3 linked regions of the Styela clava genome follow. The protein of the gene in region 2 purifies or fractionates together with the protein of the main gene of each other region. This does not show direct contact. Links are inferred from orthologs where the notes say so. Each region holds a gene or a part of one and is shown on either strand. Other genes may lie near its edges.

Region 1 (3,758 bases), on a different chromosome or scaffold from region 2:
CGGTGAATTGAAATTTCGATTGTCTATAAGAGGAAGAGGTGGCAAAATAACAATGCGAAATACTTCATCGCTTTGCTTTATGGCCATAATTATGAACAGCCCAGACAACATGATTGGGTTGAAACCGCGAGAACATCGACATCGCGCATAATTAAACAAAATGTTTAGCAAGATAAAACTCGAAGTCACGAAGTAAATCCAATTCAAGGACGAGATTGTGCTATTGTAGAAAATTTAAAACTGACGATATTCATTGTTTAATTAATAAACACGAAGTACATAGTGTTCATGTAACCGCGTTGAGACATATATAAGCCGTTTGTCAAGAAAAATGCTGTAAATGGCTAACAAAAGACAAAAACAACAACGTTTTATTTGTAGATACTTATGCTGACAAATTCTATTGTGGTGTCACATCATACAATCACATTGTTATTGGAGTCTATATGTTAGGATATATTTTTATTTTTTATAAGTGTGAGTAATACGAATCATGTGTCACGGTTATTAAAATAACGCTGGGTAGAGTGTTAAATGGCCTTCGACTTGGGCGGTTTTATGCGTACACAATATTGATTATTTTAAATTTCGTATATTTTCTTGAAGAGTTACTCTATTATTTGCTGCAGAATCCATGTCCACAAGAGAATAGAGGCAAGCATTCCAATTAAATATAATTACTACAAAGAGTTCATTACGATAAGCTTTCAGTCGTTCCGAAAGCATAGTAGAGCCAAATATATCAGTCTCCTCTTATCCAGAGCCTTGTTAATATGAATGTCGTAAACCCTCCGTGAGAAGTGCTGTGCTATATTTCATGTTGTGGTGAACTAATACAAACCATTGTTTTCCCTACTAACACTCATTGTGTGAGTCATATCTTGTTTAGAGTCTTCCTGAGAGAGAGTTTGTGCAACATTCCGTAGCAGCTTGTGGTATTCCTTGCATTGATCGAAGCGTCGCGTAGTAGAGCAATTGTACTCGAACCATTTGGAAAATTGTGTATTATTATAATGTAGACTTAATTAAGACTACTGAATACCGGTACTGATTTGTTTGAGTCTAACGATTCTACTGCACGTTTGACGATGATGGTATATGAGTAAATTGGTTATCTCATTAGAGTTTTGCCGTTTGGTGTAGCCTATAGTCTAGTAGTCTGCCTTGTTTCTGTGTTTACTTTCATTCCCAACGACAACGCAGTGTGAGATTGTTCTGCTATTCTGCCCTGTATCTGTCTATTCAGGCTATCTGCCTCTGATCGTTAAAGACAAAAGACTGAACATTACTAATCCTGCAATCTCTGAATCTAAGCATTTGGTCATGGAAACTCCAGATGATGCAGAACCTTGTGATTGCAAGCAGACGTCAATTGCAGCAGTTGTTGTTGGGGAAATGATGGATTTTAGCTCTTCTCAAGAAATTGATCAAAAGCCACATTTGTTAAAACTACCTCAAGAAGTTTTGTTACATATTTTTTCCTATATTGAAGCTGACTACTTATTGAACACTGTGTCCGATGTATGCCAGTTTCTTAAGAATTTACTCTCAAATGAAAAGTATTGGAGAATTCGTCTTTTTCAAAGATTCCCTCAACCATTTCCAATAGTTCAGGGTAAGTTTGGGGCCTTTCTGTATATATTCGGTTGTGAAAATTTAGCTATGTTCCAGTGTGAATGAAATATTTGAATTCAACTTTTCAGAAGCCTTTGTTCAATATTTTGTTCTTATAGGAGATGATTTGTCGTGGAAAGAAGCTTGTAAAGAGAGAGAACTCTGTGAGAAGACATGGAAAGGTTTGGATATGAACAACAACATGATAACTTTGAGCGAAACAAGTGGATTTGCAACTGACGCAGTTCACTTAATGAAGGTATATTGAAAGGTTTTACATGCATCCTCCTTATGAAAAATTTACCTTCATGTCCCCTCAAAAAATTTTCTACGCCCCCCCCCCCCCCCACCGTTTGAAAACCACTTTTGTGAAGTTTCATCATAATAATCTGGTATACTGATAAAACCCTGATTTGACAATTTTGATTTCTCTCTACTCGGAAGTATCTTGTAAAAACTCAAAAAATTATTTAGAATTTATTGTCTTAGTCATTATTTTTTTTGTTATCCTTTATGGTATATGAAAGCATATAATAACAACTTGGTTTCAGAACAGATCTCTATGCATCTGCGGATCAAGAGATAGAAGCATAACAGTTTGGAAATTGAATCCAGAACCAGGATCGAACATAGGTGCAAAACCTAACGAATTGCATTACAAGAATTTGATGCAGCATAACGTAAGTATCATTCGGCATGGCATCTCGAATCGCTGACTATTTATTCGAATATAATATGTAGGTATTTTTCATATTTTTACAATATACAGGGCTGGGTATGGTCAATCACATCGCAAGGAAACCAATTTTGCAGTACATCATTTGACTCCACTGTGAAGTTTTGGGATGTTGATACACTGAATATGATACAATCAGTAAACGCACGAACTGCAATACTTTGTTCATCTTATATCGATGATAATACACTGATTGCAGGCTGCTACAATAAAAAGACAATTGTTGTTGATACCAGAAGTGAGGTTTGAATAAGTTGTTATTATTATTATCAGCTTCATTTCAAATTCTGATTTTGTATTTCAGATTACAATTAAAATTGTCTAATATCTAACAGCTTGTTTTTGAAGATATGTATTTTTTTCACATGCTTGAAGTAATGTCACTCACACTCTCTCATAATCATAGGAGATTAATCTTTGAGCAAAATTACAGATGCGGCTTAAGTACCAAGGGCTACGAAGATTATAAATCATTTTAGTGAAGAATTATGTGTTTGTAGGTACGGATTGACGCGAGGCTAAAAGTGCTCATGTCAATACCAATAGAATGCCCAACTTGAAAATTTTGTAGCTTTCTTCGGTCTTCTTAATAACCCTCGCTGAAGAAATTACTGATAAAAAACCCTGTGTAATATGATAATATCCCATGTTAAATTATTCAATAACTCAAATTCGATCACTGTTGTACCAACATTCCTACAGGTAGTGGTGTATCACATTCAATGATTCATCATAGGAAGGCAGTTTTGAAAGTTGAAACAAATGATAACTATATCGTTTCAACTGGTGAAGATGGATTACTTGTCATTCTTGATAAAAGAAATTTCAATGTTCTTCAAGAGGTGAATGTTAATTTCTTAATGAAGATGTGTGAAAAAATCCACATCAAATATTAGGTACAAGGTTTATTAAGTCTTTAATGCTGAAATAATTTATGTAAACAAGTCATGAACATGAAAACGTTGCCATTTCAAAAATTGTTATATGGGCTCATTTCCCATTCCCAGGTTAGAATTAAGAATCGTAAATTTCTATGAGCAGAGCTCAAAATGAACATAGTTAAACATGGCATGTACTGAATTTGGAGTTGACTGAAGGTCGTAAATCAAATGTGGAAATACTATTCAAAATGTTTTGACACTATTCCAAAGTCAACCCAAGCTACGAATATACAACCTGTACCACTCCCAATCCTTGAGAGTTGAGGATAGTGTCGTAGTTCTATGATGTAAGAGTTTCTGGTTTCTTACTTCAGATTAAAAGTCCCAGTTTCGCCATGTCCCTCAGCGTACAAAAAGATCAAATATGGACTGGTTTAAGAAATGGGAATATAAGAGTGTATGATGCATGCGATTTTGGGAATGTTCTGCTAGCAACAGAGCTTACATTTGGATATAGCTGGAAAGTT
Region 2 (3,758 bases):
ACATTCTGTAAGTTTTAAGCCTTATCTAAGGTCTTGTTTGCTTTCCTGATTTCATATTCAGTTTTTATCTATTTGTTTTTATCAATAATTTTATTGTTATGCTGATTATGGAGTCGAAATAACTTATACTAACAAATGACAATTAATACGCACCACAATGAGTTCGAAAAGCGTTCCCTGATCAACTTTCAAAAACTCTTGATCCCAAACCGGGATATCATCAGTTCTTTTTTCCTTATTTTCATCATCTTCTGGTGGAGGGGGATCATCTTTGTGCTGTGTGCACCACTGTAATACCTGGATTGCAACATCAAAATAAATTTTTTGTTGAATAAGACTGAATTGACAACACAATGAATCGATGATAACACTTAACAGGAAGAAACAGTGCAGAACAGAAGAAAACTATATAAAAGAGATGGAAAATGTATTTCACATTGCTTTGTTTTGTACACTAGAGATGCATTTTTATTAACTAACTGATTTAACTAACTAACTTTAATCTGAGATAAATACCAATTTTAATTAACAAGAGAATAGATTAGCCACTAAGAGTAACTCAGATTGAGATCTATAAAACTAATTGGTGATTATAATTATTCAAAAACCCATTTCCTACTCATGATACACAACTCAAATAGTATATAATCAACCAGTTACGCCCACATTACTCCAGTACCATCTAGTATAATCAAGAGTTAAAAAATGTTTTCATCATAAAACATGCATAGATAATGACTAGGCCTGGATAGTTACTAAGCCAAAATGTGAGAATGTAAGCCTATTTATGCGGTGCGTCGCTTTATCATGCTAAGAATTAGCAATTCCCACTTGCCACAGCACATCCGATTACCCTGCCTAGGTTCGAATCTGTCGGGGATAGTTACTACAGGGGTGGTGACTCCTCTACGGCCCATAGGCCGGGGCCACAGCCCATCTAATTGGGCCACATGGGCCATGGCCCATCAAGCTATGGGCCGCGGCCCATCAGAAAACTTTCAATTTTTACAAAATTGTCAATATTGGAACCAAACAAAAATCGCGGCATGCCACCAAACCTTTTTCCTGCGATAAGCCTTTTCATAAAAATAAAGCAAAATACCAAGCTACAGAAAAGGATACACCTGAAGTGTGTGTACCAGGTTAGGGTTAGGACAAAATTATGTTCAGATTTTTCATATTCAGACATTATAGTTCTATTATGAGTTCAGGGAGTGGGTAGGATTTAGGTAGAATTTACATATTTATTAGTCTTTATTATTTTATCCCTTTACACAACTTGATGGGCCGCGGCCCATAGCCTGATGGGCCGTGGCCCTGGCCCATGGGTTGTAGAGGAGTCACCACTTCCACTCGATAGTTATGTGCGAGAGGATTGCTGGACTCCTCGCTGCCGCAGGATGGTTCACATAACCACTGGTCAGTATGGCTTTATCCGCCATCAAGTTCATCTAACCAATCCCATACCCGATATGAACTGGTAACCGGTAGGAAGGCTGTGGTTTGCTATCCGATCGAGTCATCGGCTTTTCTTCCCTCGTAATTAATACGTAAATCCTATCCTATATCAATCTACAATAATACAGTAATATCAATTATCGATGATACACCACCAATTATATCGCTAAGCCCATATGACAGTAACAAATTGAATTTAACTTGCTCAAATATAAGTTGGAAGCTAAAGGAGTGCTGAAACCTTCACAGAAAAAATTCGGTACTCCTGAAGTATGCGTACCAAGATGGCGGTGGCCGGAATGTATTATGTGTACCAGGTTAGGGTAAGGCCATAATTTTATTCCAATTTTTCTTATTTTAGTGCTATTACGAGTTCGAGGACTAGCCGAGTGACTCCCGTAGTATTTGTACCTGAAATTATTGCCTAACTCTAACCTGGTACACATACTATATTCCGGTGTCCGCCATCTTCGTACGTATACTTCCGGAGCACCAAAAACAGAAAAATTCATATGAAAAAATATTACAAATTAATTAAAAAACCCAGTTATAATTATGATATACCACCTTTCTCAAGATTGCGGCATTTGTGTTTGGTAATGGAATTGATTCTTCGTCATCACCAGGTTCCATTCCTAGATCTTCCAACATAGTCTTGATGGTCATAGATTGTTTGGCAATATCAATGTCTACATCAAAAACATCTCCATCTGCACTTTGTAATTTGATGGAAGGCATTTTTGCTGATATCACTTATTTATATCACTCGCTTATTTAAATATATTTGCCTGAAATTACAAAATGAAAAGTTCATAACATGTACTAGACTATATTGAAACAGGTACCTAATGTTTCCAGTACGATTTATTAGCTGTCCTCGAATCAATATAAATGCAGAAATGTCTACCAGATAACGACTGTTAAGTTGTCTGATTATTATGCTGCTCAGTTCTGTCCATAGTTGCAGAGTTAAATTTAGGATAGGATTCACATCTTTATCCCGGGGAAGCAGAAAGCCGATAAGACGGCTTAACCCCATGGTGAACCACAACCTCTCGTCCGGATACCGTACCAGTCCATGGGGATTAGATACGGTAGCCAGTTATTTGTTTTCAGATGCATAGACTTAATATCCAGATATCTGTTGACCTCTTTCAGACTATGTCGGATATCTGGATACCGGTATGGGATTAGTTAGCCAGTTACGGTACCGTATTTGTTTTCGGAAGCATGGACTTAATAGTGGAGGTCGCCGTAACCGACCAGCGGTTACGTGAACCACCCTACAGCGGCGAGGATACCAGCAATCTTCTCGCATATACGGTAATCATCCTGGCATGGGATTCGAACCCGTGAACCCTCGCGGAGTAATCAAATACAGATTTCAACTATCGGTACGGTACCGGTACCAGTACCGGTACTGTTTCTACATCACATTCTTATTTGGTATCATTCAAGCAGTTATCGCGTTTACTTCGCACCAGCAAACCAACAGAAAGCGATTTCCAGGCTGTCAAGTGTCAATGTTAGATTAGGTCGTTCTTGCGTACGGTACCGTACCGGTACCGGTTTCGTAAGACGACCCGACCGCGGATGCTCTGTCAACATCGTACCGGTATACTTACAGACTTATATTTAGAATATTCCAACCAAAACAAACACACATTAATACGAGTACGTACAAACAATCTACCGGTAATCATTATGCAGATACATAACGGCCGCCGAGAAAAACGACAAACGCGCCCGCAGTTTCGACGGTTCATAACAACGAAGAACAAACGCTTTTTCGGCAAGTACAGCCTACTGGACGTCGCGTCACGTGACAAGTGTAGCAACACCAGACCAAAGTGACTTTGCACCAAACAACACACCGCAAGTCTGTTGTAAAACTTCACTTTCACTGTCGTAAAGTGCTATGTTACAGGATCGTGAAGGATAGGATTTTACATATTTATCACGGGGGATGGAAAAACCGATAAAAAAGACGGATTAATAATCATATGGCGAACAACTCCTCATGGTGACAAATATTGGGCAAGTTGGAACGTTTTACTTATGGATACAGTTTTGGCTCCCGTAGGCCTACATTTGAACCCACGTACATTTGAACCCACGACAATTGCACCTGCATACTATTGCACCTATTTTACTATTTTACTATTTTTTTTGTTTTGTGGATATTTGAATCCATACTAACCCTAACCCATGGGTAGCACCTGTATATAGATTGAACTCGGGGATATACACATGGGTTCAAATGTACGTGGGTTCAAATGTACGGTCACCTACAGTTTTGA
Region 3 (3,758 bases), on a different chromosome or scaffold from region 2:
AGTGCGGTAAAAATTAAAATAACAAACTGACAGAAATGTTAAAATAAATATTATGACGTGTTTCAGGGAACTAAATGAAACCAGCAAAAATTTTGCTTAAATACGGGGTTCCGTAAAAAAATATAAGTAACAGATTTCTTATAGCATCATGAGTATGGTTACTGTTGGGGTTCATTGTAGTCTGCGTCGACAAAATTGTATCAAAAAAATTTGATGGTAGGGAGAGCCATGCGTTTTCTAGTCAAGACATCATTTGAAAAGTAAAGTTACAAATGGAGGTAGTGCACGATGCATAATTGCTCAAACCTTCTGGTTCACTCGGAATTGATAGATAAATTTAAAACATCCTACGGTTTCACTAATGCCTAAGTTACATTTAAAGTGAAATATTCAAGCCCTGTTTGAAATTCATTGGATGCAAATTTTTGCAGTAAATTAACCAAATATGCGGGATTGAACCACTCAAGATACGGCGATCGATCACGTTGGCCACCTCTGCACTATAAATAATATAAGGTAACCTTGTCATTGAATTGAATGATACTATTCTGCATTCCTACACTTCAGACCTATGTATTTCTGTCAGGAACATGACACAGACTTCATACGACCTTTTGCTCTTGCGCTGCTCAATAGTCTATGAAATGACTTTGATCGCCATATTTTGATTGAATTATCATCACTTACACTCACAGCCATGCTGGGATCACGAGGGTTCAAAGCAACACAATTAACAACATCCACATGTTTGAATGTGGAGAGCAAAACTCCGTAATATCTATCCCACAGGTAACCTTTGAGATTTTCTGATCCACTAGAAACATACAAATCATTACATGAAATATGAAGAAAAAATACATCACTGAAAGCTTCATGTCCTTCAAATGTAGCAATTTCCTCCATTGAAATCAGGTCTATTAAACCCATAGTAACTTTCGATGAAATATCCCGAGCCCAATGCCGAGGTGGAACTTCTTCATCCCATTTACGTACATTCACATACAAGTATCTTCCGCAAGGAGTTATTGACATACCCACCAACTGACCACCCATTTCGATAACATGGTCCCAGTTGTCAGATCGGACTTGAGGTCTCCCTTGTAGATTAATCGAATCAGACTCAAACTTTTGCCGAATGACATCAGTACACTCTTCTTGCTCAATTCTTTTGATTCCGATTTGATGAGGAACATTGAAGTCGTTTCCAGTAAAACATAAAAGTAGTTTATAATGTGAGGGTGAATTAATAGGCTGCGAAGCTTCATCTCCGGTTGTCACTTCTGTTGATTCACTATCATCTCTGTCTAGTTCATCATCTGTCAGCTGAGGACTTGCTGTTTCAGAAAATAGATTGCTGCTGTCTGTTTCATTTTCAAAATCAGTGATACATCGCTTAACAGAAGGAAGCAAAACAGACGATTCCTCCTCTGTATTCAATGATGTGTGATCATGAGAGACAACACTACTATCAAGCTTTATCTTTTTACAATTGCTAAATGTTCCTTCATATATATCATTGGTGACTCTTGCACTGCAAGATAGAACATTTTCATCACATCTGTCAACAATTTTATCACTTTCTGATGGAACGTTGTTTTTGTCCAAAGAAATTCTCACAGTGATTGAAGACACAGTTTCTAATGGAGTGGACGCTTCATGATTTTTGCAGGCATTCATTGATGATTCTGCTTCCTTAATGTATTCTTTATGTTTGCCAAATGCTTTCATGTGCATATCATGTATTTTTCCTTGGTAACAATCATTAGATACAGCCCTATAAACTTGTGATATAACCTTTTTCATATCAGCCACTTGAAGATAACTCACAGTGTTGTCATTTTCACAAGCAAACATATATGCACGCGTTACCGTCGAATGCATTAGGTTTTCTATTTCCTGACTCGATTTGTTAAGAAGGACTTCACACAGACATTGGCGACGGGCTGCTAGCAAATGAGCTCTTGCAGACAAGATATGTGTTTCATTAAGCCAAGTTCCCATTACATCAAATGGCTTTATTCTCACCCTTGCCTGTAGAGTGAACTCTTTAATAAAAATATTATATATAATTATTTCTCCTCCTTGTTGAGAGCCTTCACATCTTCCAGAAACTAGAAGTTGAGTATCGCTGCTACTAAATTGTGAATATTGAGTATAAAGCCACCTAAATTGGGAACTTCTCCCTAAATGTTCATTGAAGATTGTGTCAAATGGCCAGTCTGCACTGAACACCTTGACTGATGCATCTTTTGAACATGTACAAAACATCATACCATTATTTGAAAAAGCTACATGTAAAACTTCATCATCATGCTCAAGAATTCTTTCGAATTCTACACTAGGAACAAGATCTACCATTCTCTGATATTCTGATTTCCACGACATTCCATTAGGTCTTAAATCCATTTCACCTATCTTGAAGTCAAGGCGAAATCTTCTTTGCCACAGAAAATTTAAATTTCCGATCTCAAACCATCTTTTACAAGCTAGCGAGCAGCATCCAAGATCTTTGTAGCCCAATAATTTAAAAATTTGAATAAGTGGTTCTGTAGGAAGATATTTCCAACCATGGTGCAAATTTTCAAATTTATTTTTGTTGCAGTTTCCAGATTTCTGCTGGAAATATTGGTCTGTACCCATTTTTGTCTTCAAACTTTAGAAGTCTGCAGACATCACAAATTTAGGTCAGATTTATTTCATTTACAACATATTACGCTAAGAAAGCAACATATTCACGTGTAACATTTTTACTTAGGCTACATAGTTTATTCATTAAAACAAATGTTTAAACCTTACCGGTACTGCCTCAACCTGTCACTCAAGCGTTAGGAATACACTCACCACCGTACCTCTAATTACTCTGCGTGGGTTCGCAGGTTCGAATCCCATGCAGGGATGGTTATGTGCGAGAGTATTGCTGGACTCCTTGCCGTCGTTGGGTGGTTCACGTAACCGCTGGTCGGTTACGGCTTCCTCCACCACCAAGTCCATGCCTCCGAAAACAAACAATATAACTATTCGCTTCCCTGACTTGGAATGGTAACCGGACGAGAGGCCGCGGTTCGCCATACTGCCATATGGATAAGCCGTCTTATCGCCTTTCCTCTCCCCCGGGATAAATATGTAAATCCTATCCTAAGATTTATTATATGTATGCGGACATTGGAATATCATTCGCGGTGGTTATGGCTCATCGTGCTAAGAGTTAGGAATACGCTCGCCACCGCACCTCTGATTACTCTGCGTGAGTTCGCAGGTTCGAATCCCATGCGGGGTTGATTATGTGCGAGAAAATTGCTGGACTCCTCGCCGCCATAGGGTGGTTCACGTAATCGCTGGTCGGTTATGTCTTGGTCCACTATCTGACCATCAAGTCCATGCTTCCGAAAAACAAATAACTAACTCATCCTGTACCCAACATGGAATGGTAACGGACGAGAGGCCGTGGTTCGCCACATGGTTAAGCCGCCTTATCGCCTTTCCTCTCCTCCAGGATAAATATGTGAATCCTATTCACTTAGTACAGCTGTACAGTAGTGAAGTCCAAATAAAAACCTAATTTCACAGGCACAAATATGGGATAGTCATATTGTGCTTCAACTACATAAGATATTAGAGAATATGTATTGCTATATAGAGTTACACTCAATTATATTTACCTATTACAGTAATTTATGTTCGCAAACAACACCGGATGTATACCGGTACGGTACTACTATGTTAGACCTATGTTTTAATGAGGAATATTGTTGTTAATA

Evidence for each region.
Region 1: the proteins of S-phase kinase-associated protein 1 (region 2) and F-box/WD repeat-containing protein 9-like purify together in Homo sapiens (affinity purification with mass spectrometry; 6 studies listed by BioGRID and IntAct, with this or other methods). This does not show direct contact. The link is inferred for Styela clava from reciprocal best matches to the Homo sapiens genes SKP1 and FBXW9.
Region 3: the proteins of S-phase kinase-associated protein 1 (region 2) and F-box/WD repeat-containing protein 5-like purify together in Homo sapiens (affinity purification with western blotting; 16 studies listed by BioGRID and IntAct, with this or other methods). This does not show direct contact. The link is inferred for Styela clava from reciprocal best matches to the Homo sapiens genes SKP1 and FBXW5.

The regions. Positions count from the first base shown.
Region 1 is NC_135255.1:10,472,074-10,475,831, reverse strand, and holds the start of F-box/WD repeat-containing protein 9-like, read left to right. Parts: upstream 1-963; 5' UTR 964-1,323; coding exon 1,324-1,615; intron 1,616-1,733; coding exon 1,734-1,873; intron 1,874-2,165; coding exon 2,166-2,294; intron 2,295-2,383; coding exon 2,384-2,588; intron 2,589-3,052; coding exon 3,053-3,192; intron 3,193-3,605; coding exon 3,606-3,758. UniProt on the Homo sapiens protein: Substrate-recognition component of the SCF (SKP1-CUL1-F-box protein)-type E3 ubiquitin ligase complex.
Region 2 is NC_135260.1:7,447,036-7,450,793, forward strand, and holds the start of S-phase kinase-associated protein 1, read right to left. Parts: upstream 2,249-3,758; 5' UTR 2,197-2,248; coding exon 2,026-2,196; intron 298-2,025; coding exon 154-297; intron 1-153. UniProt on the Homo sapiens protein: Essential component of the SCF (SKP1-CUL1-F-box protein) ubiquitin ligase complex, which mediates the ubiquitination of proteins involved in cell cycle progression, signal transduction and transcription.
Region 3 is NC_135255.1:1,742,201-1,745,958, forward strand, and holds the start of F-box/WD repeat-containing protein 5-like, read right to left. Parts: upstream 2,827-3,758; 5' UTR 2,641-2,826; coding exon 583-2,640; 3' UTR 1-582. UniProt on the Homo sapiens protein: Substrate recognition component of both SCF (SKP1-CUL1-F-box protein) and DCX (DDB1-CUL4-X-box) E3 ubiquitin-protein ligase complexes.